3 linked regions of the Solanum lycopersicum genome follow. The protein of the gene in region 3 interacts with the protein of the main gene of each other region in a pairwise test. Links are inferred from orthologs where the notes say so. Each region holds a gene or a part of one and is shown on either strand. Other genes may lie near its edges.

Evidence for each region.
Region 1: the proteins of protein BOLA2 (region 3) and monothiol glutaredoxin-S17 interact in a two-hybrid assay, tested with the Arabidopsis thaliana proteins (2 studies listed by BioGRID). The link is inferred for Solanum lycopersicum from reciprocal best matches to the Arabidopsis thaliana genes AT5G09830 and GRXS17.
Region 2: the proteins of protein BOLA2 (region 3) and monothiol glutaredoxin-S15, mitochondrial interact in a two-hybrid assay, tested with the Arabidopsis thaliana proteins (2 studies listed by BioGRID). The link is inferred for Solanum lycopersicum from reciprocal best matches to the Arabidopsis thaliana genes AT5G09830 and GRX4.

What each region holds. Positions count from the first base shown.
Region 1 is NC_090801.1:59,271,744-59,276,056, reverse strand, and holds the start of monothiol glutaredoxin-S17, read left to right. Parts: upstream 1-1,509; 5' UTR 1,510-1,825; coding exon 1,826-2,002; intron 2,003-4,174; coding exon 4,175-4,249; intron 4,250-4,313. UniProt on the Arabidopsis thaliana protein: May only reduce GSH-thiol disulfides, but not protein disulfides. Participates probably to the maturation of iron-sulfur proteins and to the regulation of the redox state of the BOLA proteins.
Region 2 is NC_090805.1:44,575,604-44,579,922, reverse strand, and holds the start of monothiol glutaredoxin-S15, mitochondrial, read left to right. Parts: upstream 1-1,515; 5' UTR 1,516-1,721; intron 1,722-2,574; 5' UTR 2,575-2,608; coding exon 2,609-2,680; intron 2,681-3,143; coding exon 3,144-3,278; intron 3,279-3,433; coding exon 3,434-3,533; intron 3,534-3,678; coding exon 3,679-3,745; intron 3,746-4,319. Other genes in the region: uncharacterized protein, read left to right, coding at 1-34.
Region 3 is NC_090810.1:868,474-872,559, reverse strand, and holds the start of protein BOLA2, read left to right. Parts: upstream 1-1,232; 5' UTR 1,233-1,631; coding exon 1,632-1,691; intron 1,692-4,086. Other genes in the region: sm-like protein LSM3A, read left to right, coding at 629-709. UniProt on the Arabidopsis thaliana protein: May act either alone or in interaction with glutaredoxin as a redox-regulated transcriptional regulator, or as a factor regulating Fe-S cluster biogenesis. The GRXS17-BOLA2 heterodimer binds a labile, oxygen sensitive iron-sulfur cluster.

The sequences.
Region 1 (4,313 bases), on a different chromosome or scaffold from region 3:
TATTAGCAATATTTTAACATGAATTTGATTATTCGACATTATCACATAACTCAAGAATCTCTAATAAATGAACTACTGACGAAATAATAAATCATTGATTCTTTAATCAAAAAGTAAAATAAAGAAGTAAATAAGAATATATATTCAAAGAAATTTCGTAATAAAAAGAAACGTTTAAGTTGCATAAATTATACAAATGTGAGATATGCATTAGGAGAAAATTAAAAAAATTGTTAACATCTTCAAAAAAGAAATTACTCTTGAACATGAAAGCAATTATAACTTTTGAATATGCATAATGAATTTCTTCAACTGATAAGCGAAAAATTTCCTATCTATGTAAAAATAAATAATATGTAATCTTATATAGTACATGTAAGTCATTGAATTTAATATAGAATATCAAAACATGAATTTTTGGAACTGAGTATAATTATTATGCATAATGAATATCCGTAATATATGTGTGTATGTTCAATATAATCGGAGATAATTAATTTGCAGAAATATAAACAACAGAGTTTAAAACATGTACTCAAAAATAATAATTTATATCATAAGCATAATGAATGTAAAAAAACATACCAGGATATGTAAAAACAAAATGGAAATAGAAAGGAAAAAATCGAATCCGGTGAATGCACAATGTTCCCTTAAGAAAACTATTCCCCTCCAATCCCAGAGGCTTACAAAATTACATCCACTTAGGATGGAACGGTCTTATTCATCAACTTATTGATACAAAAGCAGTGTGTGTTAGTAAGTCACTCCACAGGAGCAAAGTTTACAAATATTAAAATTTGAGGAATTAGAAGAAAAAGAAGAAGATCAGAACTTTTGTTGTTTTTAAATCAGAGAGAATCTCATTATTTATAGACAACAAAGGATAGTGTGGACAAATCTTTATTGTGTTTTATCAAAAAGGTCATAATTATTAAAAAAAGTTACAATTCTTCGAAAAGTTCACAACCTTTAGTAAAAGTCACAATTCTTCATTAAAGTCCCAACTTTTCATAAAAATCGCAACTCTTAATTAAAGTCGCAGCTTATCATAAAAGTTACTTTTGATAAAAATCGCAACTCTTTATTAATGTCGTCATAAAAGATAAAAGTCACAACTCTTATTTACGTCGCAACTTTTCATGAAAAATGAAGACTAATTTTGAAAATAAATAAATTTCACCGTGACGCTACGTAGACGGGCCTAGAATTCTCTTTTATATAAATATATGATATGATTAATTAATAATTTAAAATTATGATACGAAATTAAAATTTCAAATATGTTGATTTAAAATTACAATTTTGTTAGACATTTAACTTTTAAATTATATTTTCCCTCATAAATATATAAGTCCTATAATTTGTGAAATTAGCAAAATTTTATCAATTTTTATACAATTTTACCAAATAAGTAAACTCATATTTAATAAATAAATACTTGCATTTACTTGTTATGACTACAAACTTATGTTTTACATATATTTTTACAAAAATCAACTAATTGACGATAATACTAACTAAACTAGGAGCAATCTCTTCGTATTGAACATTAATCGATTCTATAAAATTTAAAATAATAATTTTTATTATTATGTATTAAACTTATAATTCAACTTTATTATTTAAAAAAAAAAAAGGACTAAATCACAATTTAAAATTTGAAGAATTTAAGATTTTTTTAAAATATATATATATGAAAGAAAAGGGAAAAAGAAGTAGGCTTTTATATAAAACAGCATAAAAGAGGAGAAATTTCGTATTGTTCTTTGAGGGTATTTACTTCACTTCTCATTGAGAAATAGAGAATCTGAAAGAATCGAGAATGGGCGGAGGAGGATCAGTGAAGGAAGTTCAATCGAAGGCGGAGCTTGATAAGATTGTCGCCGACGGATCACCGGCGATTTTGCACTTTTGGGCATCATGGTGTGAAGCTTCTAAGCACATGGACCAAGTCTTTTCGCATCTTTCTACTGATTTCCCACATGCCCATTTTCTAAGAGTAAGCAAAATCTTCTCACTTTGTGCATATATGGAAGAGAAGCCCAAAAAGATTGTATCTTTTTTAATTTATCGATCGATTTCTGGTTTTATTTTTGGTTATATGACTGGCGCTGTTATATTTCTTACTGAGAAAGGTAAAATAAGATAGGTTATGGAATTTTGAATGATCTTGAAATATATTGATGCGTTATTGATTGATTTTCTGCTTGATATGTTCTTGTTGGGGGTTGTTTAGTTTTTGTTCCCCTTTAACTAAGGTGTGAAGGGTTAAGAGTTTTTGTACACTTCTTTTGTGAAACTTTATTGGAGATGGACCAAGTTTATATCTTTTTAATTTATTGGTTGAGTTCTGGTATTTTATTGAATGGTTTTTGATGTGGCTTATGGAATTTTGAATGAATTGTTGGATTGCTATTTTCTGTTTGATATGCTCTTTTGTTTGGAGGGGGTTCTCTGGGTTTGTTTTTTATTGCTGTGCTTTGAGGGTTTAGGGTTTTGTTGTTCATTATTCAGTTTTCACATGTAATAAAACTCAGAAAGTATATATATTTTAATTCTTTATATCGATATCAATACAGTCCAGTGGTTTAGGCATAGGAGTGACAACTTGGAGATTATTGGTTTGAATTTGGGTTATAACACCAGGGTGTTTAGCCTTGGTGAGCAGGTTTACCATTGGTAGATTAGTCAAATGTGTGCAAGCCAGTACCTGGTACCACCTTCATTAGTAAAAATGGCAGTTCATAAGATTTTGGACGAACTACAAAGCTTTGTGATGTGCTATTGAAAGATATGCTTTAAAGGGTTTTGGACATATTGTTTCTGTTTGGAGTGTTTTTTTTTAATGTTTGTTTTGGGAAGATATGCTTTAAATGGTTTATGGTTCTGTAGTGAATGTAGATCATTCTTGTAGTGACAATGAGATTTCTCCTTTTGCACAGTAAGTCTTGGTTTGTAGTAAACAATTGTTTTGATAAGATATATAATTTTATTAATTCGGGAAAGCACTTGTGTACGAGCAGTATGCCAAGATATAGATAATCTATACCAAAATATGGTTCTCCATTAATGACACTCAATCTTCTATACAATAGGCTAACTTTGGTGAAATTTTAGGGTGCTACTGTTAAGAGTTTTTTGGTCAAACTTGGTACTAATAGAAATAAGCTTTGCTCTATTAGGCAACTATTATTACCTCTTATAAGCTCATTGTCACATTCTTTGGTAGATGTTGAAGAAATAAAAGCAGTTTGAGGAAATGAACATGCATTATTTACTCAAATAAACACAAAAAGTTAGGGAAAAACAAGTACTTCTTTGTTCCAATTTATGTGGTACCATTTGACTTGCACAAAGTTTAAAGTAAGAAAGGAAGACTTTTAACATTGTGGTTTAAAACAGACCTTAGTCTTTTGTGCGGCTATAAATCAATTCATTTTAAGGGTAAAAGAGGAAATTTTGAAGTGAATTTTTCCTGATTATAGAAAGGTGACATTCTTTTTGGGACAGACTGGAATAGAAAGCGTGTCACATAAATTGGGATAGAAGAATAACTATGAATTTATTTCCCTGAATGGATGCACTGAGTATATGAGTTCTTGTGGTTACCCAGCTATGTTATATAAATATGAGGACTTTGTAGTACCAAGTTTTTTTGGGGAGGGTGGAGATAGTTATTGCTCTGTTGATTTTCTTCAGTCTTAACTCTTACCTCAATTTGGTAGTTCAATTTTTTAAGCAAGTTGAGAAAATGAACGCCCGTGATAACTCAAATAGACACAGAAAAGATAAGGAAAAAGCTTTTAACTAAGAACTTGTCTCCCTGAAGGGGCACACACAGACAGATATGTTCTTGTGGTTGCCTAGCTATATTGTTCCTCTCTTGATTTTCTGCGGTCTTACATTGATTTGTCTGCTTGAATAGAATCTACAAATTTTACTTCCTGCAAGCAGAGAAGTGGAGAACACAGGACACTCGAATAGTTGCTTGTTCTAGTATAGTGAATTGGGAATGAACTTTTCTTCTATAGTGGTTGATGCCACTGTAAACTGAATTCCTTAATGAATTATGTCTAGGTGCTACTGGAATTTGCTCATTAGTCATTCACTCATTCTGATGTTTCAGCTCATCTCTGATGGTGATTATTTTGCTTCTGTCTTTGTATTTCAGGTTGAAGCTGAAGAACAGCCTGAGATATCTGAGCTGCACTCTGTTTCTGCTGTACCTTACTTTGTCTTCTTCAAGGTATCTAACCTGGGAATTTGCTTTCCTTGTCTATGACTGTTTCTGTTTGTAAACCTTTATTTGC
Region 2 (4,319 bases), on a different chromosome or scaffold from region 3:
GTCATATGAAGAGATGATGATGCTGTTAGACTGAGTGCTAGTTGATCACAACTAGTGCTAGATCCGAAAGCAGGTGAGCTAGTAGATAAGCTCCATCAGATAATCACGGGGAAAGACCAGGAACGTGGAGGAGACACAACAGGTCATCAAGGTACATGCCAAGATCCTTCGGGCATTAAACCATTGAATTAATGCTTGGTTCCTTTCAGGTTGAAGTTCTTTGGTTTTCAGGTATCTTGTCATCACTGAATGGAGGAATTTTATGTCAGAATTCCTGTTATTTGTACTCTCAAATGAACCATCGCTGTTGTCGTTCTTTTCCATTCCTACTTCGATACTTCAAGAACAAGTGTTTCCCCCCTCATGAAATTATAGTTCCTTGTTTACTATCTCTGAACATATGAAACATAAAAGCTTGTTAAGATCATAAGGGAATTTTTTAAAGGATGTTAAGCTTAACCTCATGCCTCCCTATAGTACGTCTGTTTTTCAATGTTTGTATCGTAATTTTCCAGCTATGGCATATGTTTATGATTAGGCAAATTTACAGTTTGCGACGTAGAAAAATTCTCTTATGGTCGATTCTGCTACGTTAATAAGGAATTAATGTTTTCCATATCTAAACCAGTTGGAAAAACTAGTTAGTGATCGATTAGACAAATTAAACGAGATTTAGTTGCGTTAGGGTGAAAGTTAATGTAGATTTATTATGGAGTTGCGAAATAGTATATAAATTTACTGCACCAATGAAGAAACTGGTAAAATCATGTAGAAATGACAACAAATTTAATATGATTGTTTTGTTTTATCTGTTTTTTTGTTTTTTTTTTTAAAAAAAGAAGATCGATTAGAAATGTTTCATTACTTGGTTGTATGTGTGAAAACAGAGTCGCCCATTAACTATTTTGGAAATTAGATTTTGAAAAGGCATTTGGAACCTTTGTTTGAAAATAAAGATAAAAAAATCTACTGAGGAAGGGAAGGTATTAAACCACCTGAGGAAATTTGCAAACGCAATTAACCTGTAAATTTAAATATTTTATCGCCAAAACAAATACTATAACTTTTTTGAATGTGGAAATTTGAAGGGTGACTAAGGAATTCATTTTCTTGGTAATTAATTGTTTCATTAACTCAACCTGTGAATTAAGTTAACTAGTTTTGTGAAGGACCAATTACTTTATCTAGTTACTTGTGGTATCCTTTCAAACTTTGAACACACATTCTTTACCACATAACATCCAAGAAGATCGAAATTATCAATTTATCTAGTTAAAAAAGGTATGTTCTCCGTTTGAAAAAGGATAACCTAGTTTGACTTGGAACGAAGTTTATCAAAAGAAAAAATATTTTTTAATATTATGGTTCTAAATTAAAGTTATGTTAAACGTACCAAAATACCCTTTAATTTTATATTTTTAAACATGCCACGTGAAAAGTTAAAGGATTACTAAAAAAAGAAAGAATTTTAAAACGGACTAAAAAGGAAATAGATTTTTTTTTTTTTATACAAAGAAAGTAATTAAATAAACACAAAATTTAGATTTAAGTTTTAAGGCCTAGGGGGCAAAAACGGCAATATACGTTTTTATGTTCCTCCTCCATTCTCTCATCACCCTTTCGGCTATAAATACCTAAATGAAAACCTGAAATAGGGGTTTTAGAAGTCGAAAATATTAAAGCACAGGAAGGAATTGGTCTGGTCTTCTCTTCTCTGAGTGGTAATTTTTCGATTTTCCATCTATTTATTCTTTAATTGTGTCATTATTCGCTTGGCAAGCCAGCAGATTTCTGTAGGAACCATTTTTTTGGTGATTCAGTAGTAATTGCTTTCATGTCATTTTCTAATTTTTGCGTGCTCTCTCCGATTGTTTTTGAACAGTGACTTGGGGTTTATTGGATGAAAATAGATTAAAAAAACAATCTTTTTATCGTTTACTGAAATGGGTGTCTGAAAATTTTCAGTTTTATGCGTTTAGGTGTTCGATGAATTGATTCAATGAGTTAGGTGTTAATATAATGTTGTATCTCAAAACAAATTTGAAATTAGAACATTTGTCTAGATTAAAGAATCTCTGATCAGAATTCAGATATTACATTGAGCTTTTTGTTGTGGTTTGATATGATTATTGGGTCATAGAGATGGGATGTCTGTGATAATACCATCAAGTAACAACACCATGCCCCTTGTGATCCTACAAGTGGGTCTGGGATGGTGGGGTGCACACAGACCTCACCCCTATGGCATAATATCGAAGGAAAGACAACTATCTACATAAAAATAGTAAAGATAACCTAGATAAAAGAAACAACATTAGTGATAAATTTGTAGCTATTTATTATGGCAAAAGTGCCTCAGTCCTGTACTAGTTGCTGTCAGTTATATGAATCGATTATCTCCATTCCAATCCATTTAAATAGTAGTCTATGCCTGAACATAAATTTGATGGTTTAGCTTCATTGGTCCCAAAAGAGGGTTGTATGCTTTGTAGCTAAGGGTTTTTACTATATTTTTGAGGTTGTGAAGCACTAAGAACTGATTTGTAATTTTTTCTTATTTAATCATCCCTGCAGCTGAAAGAAGTTTGAACAAATTGTCTCTTTTATTATGGCGAGATCATTATCTCAAATGATGTTGAAGCGTTTTGCAGCCTACCCTCTTGCACGTTCATCTGCAATTGTAAGAATAAACATTACTGTCACCCTGTTTGTGCTTACTATTAACAACACATCAACTAATGCTTTCCACTTCTTTGTCTGACTTATCTGGTAGCTTGCAAAGTAAAGAAATTAAGCTTTACTATGAAGAGCTCCCCTTTCTTTCTTCTGTTTTCACTTTGTGCACCCCATCGCTCTGTTCTGGACACTCTAGTTTATCTCTCGCTAGCTAAATACAATTGGAGTATATGCTGTATCTGTAAGTCATATAATAAACTAAGAACATTTGCTTGAATCTACCTTCATCAAACATTTGCTTGAATCTATATTCCCCAAAAAAGACCATTTGCTCAAATCTTTCTACCATATGTTTCCATCCAGTGTCTTCTAATGTGTTTAGCCCATAGACAGGATTAGACAAAATCGTTTTTTTTCTTTTATTTGTTCAAAATTTATGCTTAACAGTTGCTTGATTTGTATAATAGACATCCAGATCCATCCACCAGGGTGAAGTGCGGTATTCAACTTCTGTGCCTAGTGATCCGGACACACATGAAGATTTTAGGCCTACTAGTAAGCTTGAGAGTTCAGGTCTTTCTCTGGAGAATATTGTTGAGCAGGTAGCTTTAGTCAATGTGTACATTTTCTGCTTGTTGGCAAGTCAGAGCTCTTTTGTTTTCAATCTTTGAATATAGAGATTGTGTTACCCTTTTTCGTTTATTTGCTGTACTGTTAAGTGTTCAGGTTTAGTTATTCTGTCGGCCTTCTGTTGTAGGATGTCAAGGATAATCCTGTGATGATATACATGAAAGGTGTGCCAGACCTGCCTCGTTGTGGATTCAGCTCATTGGCTGTTAGAGTTCTCAAAGAATACAGTAAGTCCATGTGCTATAAGTGATATCTCTTGTTGTTGGATTTTGCATCCTCTTTACTTGCAAGTGTAGATTTCTGATAGAGGTCCATGGGCCCTTAATTGGTCTTCATCTTCTTACGATTTACGAATATATATTGTCTTTGCAGATGCTCCAATAAGTGCCAGAAATATCTTAGAAGATCCTGAGCTTAAGAATGCTGTAAAAGCTTTCAGGTAAGTTTGATGCCAAATGGTCTATGGTTATGAAAATTATTTATTGACGAATTTATTTGCATTTTTAGAAGGGATTGATACACAATTCTAGATGTTAAGTGGCCATCTTTCGCCCTCTGCTGTGATCTGAGCAATATGCTTTTGTGACATTAAACACATCCTTTAGAGAAAGTAGGGTCATTTGGGTAGACATATTGCTGATGGGATATTGGCTGCCATTTAAATATCATAGTAAACTCTGGAAATGATTAATGGTTTGTTCATAAGGTCAGATGATATTTGACTGTCGAGGCAGCTCATACTTTTTTTTTTTAAATATCTGTGGTTTAAATTGGTTCTTTTCATTCTTATAGTATGGTATTGTTTTTTTTTAATTTATGAAGTATGGTATGACATTGATTCACCTGGATGATGCCAGCATTTTACATTCATGGTGATGACCCTGTGGCTATGTAGTTATTTGAGTTATATGTAGGTTGTATGTCTACATTTTTGTAGCTATAAAAAATGGCGACCCTTTATTTTTATATACTATATAGTGATTGTATTTTAAAGAGCATCAAGTGAATGCTAT
Region 3 (4,086 bases):
ATACCAAGGGACATCTGCTTTTCGCTTATGTGATACCCCCTTAGAAGATTAGGTGCTCCTTTTCCATCTGAAGTTTCGAGAAGTTTCTTCTCGTATTTTCACTTGTAGTGGAATCAGGGGTGTATCCTAAGAAGGAGGGGTGTCAATTCACGTGTGTTTCAATGTACAACTCCCAATCTTCCAAGGTCCATCTTGTGTTCCAATTTAAAGCATTGTTTTCTTTTTCTTACTTGGTTTTATTCTTTCAAAATTCCCAAGTTTTAACATATTGAAATCTCTATTTTCCTTGTATAGTTGTGAAATTTTATAATTAAGGCAAATGTCTATATTAAATCTAGTCATAGTGGAGGATGTCACATATATTCAATGGGTTTAACTAATCATAGATCTTTGTGAAGAATTACTAAAATTTAAAAACAAATCGAACATTGGTTCAACTTATCCCAAAACCTATCAAATTTAAACCCTGGATTCGCTATTGATCATAGTGGTTGATATCCTAGATTGGCCCCATGAGTAGAATGTATTTATTAGAATTGCTTTTTGCAAGAGTTGTTGTGTGTTGAGGAATGGTTTTCTAATGATTGTAAAAGCAGCTGACATTGGTTCTCTGTTGATTGTGTTTTAGGCGACGAGACGGACCATCCCGTTCCTATTTGTTCGTGGAGATGGTGTGATTCTGGTGTCTCCTCCACTCCGGACTACTTGATGAGGAGAGGCATCGTGGTGTATGAAAATCTGCAAGCACGCTATATTTTGTTTAAGGTGCTGCAGTAGACTATTGTAGGTGGTCTGTGATTTTGTCTAGTACATGTGTTTTGCAAAGCACAAGATTAGTAATGTTGAAATCCTATAGCATTGGATATTTGTGAACCGTGCTGCTTCTGTTTACTTAACTCTAGAATGAGACAAGAAGTGTCTGTTTGGATTGGCTTATGGCTGTCAAAAGCCATAATTTGTGATTTTTAACAAACACCATGAAAGTGCTTTAAAATACAATTTTTTTTATTCAAATATTATGAAAGTGAAAAATATAAGTTAATCCAAGTAGACTGGGTATTCTTATTCGAATTTTATAGGATTATATGCCATATTGTTGTCGTCAAATATTCCCTATTCCACTTATGTTGCCATTTTTCACCCATCGCCAATTCAACTTTTTCTTCTTGAAAAATTATTTGAACATGGAATTTGTATAATTTTCCATTTTAAATTTCTAAAAACTTCAAAACTGTTTTTACACAAAAAAATAGACTTCAATTTGTGTTCATAAATCTTAATTTTCAAGTATCAACTTAGAAATTATTCCAGAGAAAAAAAGTACTCCTTAGTTGCAAGCAATTTATGTGATACATTTTTTATTTCGAGATTCAAACAAATTTAATTTTTTATCATAGACATTATATATATATATATCAATTATTTTGACTTGTAGTGTTTTTTAAATCTAATTTAGAAATACATAATAATATAAAGATTTTATGAGCAAATATTGGGTCAACCCGTCTTGAAAAATAAAATGTAGAAATTGGGATTCGTATATAAAAATTGTAAAAACCTAGGAAGAGAAGAATTGTATTTGGGGCATTTTGGCAGCAAATAACAAAGAAAAAAAAGAGTATTCTCGAAAGATGAAGATGAAGGAGCAAGTAGAATCTTCACTAAGGGCAAAGCTTAACCCTTCTCATCTGGTAAATTCTCTCAAATATACACATATCTGTTGTTAACTTGATGAGTTTGTGTTCGTTTAATTTGTTCATAGCAAATCTAAACCAAATAGGTTTATCAGGATTTTAGATTTTGTTAAACCTTGTCAGTTGCAATTGTTAAAATTAACTGACAAAGGAAAATAAGTGATAAACATTGGGAAATCTCCCAAATGCTGAAATTTTGGTTGTTATGAATTAATAGGTCAAAAAACACATCTTTAAGTTTTACATTTTAATTTATTAAAAGCAAAATTCTAACTTCAAATCTGCCTTGATTGGATTGTTTCACTATGAAGATGATATTAGTTGGATTTGGCACTATGTAAAACAACTCTGAGTTAGCTACTCCTTAAGAACGAAGGCTGAAAATTTAAAGAAGTCAAGTAGGTGTCACCTACGTAAAAATGAAGGGCCAAAGATAAAAAAGTAGGTCCATCACCTACTTAAAGGCTTATGGCCCAAAGATACGGACCAAAAGGGGGCTGTCTTGGGTCCGCCCAAGGCCCATCTTTCAAGTCCATTAAGGACTATATAGATGTATAAATAACTCCATGGATTTATTTGCTTGAGCTATGTGCTTCACCGACTTGCTTTGACATCCTAGTTGGTTGATCTAGTTGGTTAGATGTCCTAGTTGCTTAATAAGAGCAACCCACGTGTTTAAGGAAAATTAATGACCTACTAGTCTAAGTATGTGACTAGTAGGTGTATCACCTCTTTAGAACAAAGGGCCAAAATTTAAAGAAGTCAAGTAGATGCATCACCTGCTTAACTCCCTGGTTTATTGGCTTAAGTAGGTGATGCAACTACTTGTCTTATTTACATCTGGAACTTCGTTCTTAAGTAGGCACCTACTAGTTACTTGCTTAGACTAGTAGTTTATTAAATTTCCTTAAGCATGTGAGTCGCCCTTGATTCAAGTAGCTCAAGTTACTAGGATGTCAAATAAGCAACTCAACCAAGTAGGACTTCCAACAAGTAGGTCGTCTAAGCAAATAGCTCACAAGTGGGCCATTTGCGCAAGAAGGTGAAAATGGTACATTCCATGGTACATGTGTTTGAAGTGAGGGAAAGGCGAGTGAGCTATAGTTCTTTTTTTTTCCAGTTTCTCTTTGTATGAGAGAATTTCCTGATGGGAAAAAAAGTGCAAATATACCCAATACGTGTATTTGTGTTATATCCTTCCTCTGTTCACCTTTCGGGTCAAAGGATCCCCCACAATTATCTTTCGTATGAAATGTGCCCCTCCACCTTGAAGAGTTGGTCAGCCACGTAGGGTATATTTGACCTTTTCAGTTGTTTAGGCTTTATAGACTTCTTCAATTGTAAGGGTATATTGGTCTACCTGGCTCTATCGTGAAAAAGATAGAGCCGTGCTGGACAGTCGTAAGAGGGAGGGAAAAATATGGGACGGAATTAGTGATTTGGGGCTTTCATGGACCGGAAAGGGAAGTAAACGCAGGCAAATGTTAGACAAACCTAATAGTCAGTGATAAAGTTGAACCTTTCCTTGATTTTGATCACTAGCCTTAAATTGCCAGTCTTGGAAATGAACAGTGTTAGAACATTTAACATCTAATGATTTTCTAAAAAAGAAGCTAAACTTGTTGAAGTGTTTTTTACAAAGGTGCTTTAATAAGTCCTTATCTCAAGAGCATATACCATCATAGCAAGATTTCAGGTACATCAATGGTTGGGGAAGGAACTTAGGTGATGTTTGGTTGGGAGTAGTGGAGAAAGTGATCTCCACTTATACTTAGTGTTAGTATAATGTTTGGTTTCATTCTTCCTTTCCACATAAAATTTAGGATATTTATAATACAATTTTTGTTTCCACTTCTCTTGTCGCATAACTGATATCCTCTTTAAGTTATGCGGGTATCGATATATTATTTTATGCAAGATAAGAATGCGGGGATAGTATAATATGGAGTAAAATTACGAGATGACAAAAATAACCCTTCACGTGTTATCCAATATTTATTTTGTCAAAAGAATTTAAAAAATATTTTTTAATATGCACTTTAGTATAACAAATCTAACATCCATTGAGTAAATAATCCTTCCACTACAGTTCTTGTATTATAACCTTAACCTTGCATTTCAATCCCTACATTACAATCTCTACATTGCCATCCATGCATTTCTAATTCCCCTGTAACTTGCTTCTAATCCAAACGACCCATTAAAGCATTGTGGTACCTGAGATAGTTGCTCTTTACCCGGAATACATATATGAGCTACCTATTATTTATGTCAATAAGAGATGCTATACTAAGATTTCAGGTACATTAAGGGATAGGTGGAAGAACCTCAAAGCATTGAGGGACCTTAGAGTTTTTCTTTTCCTGGAATACATATATGAACTACCTTTATT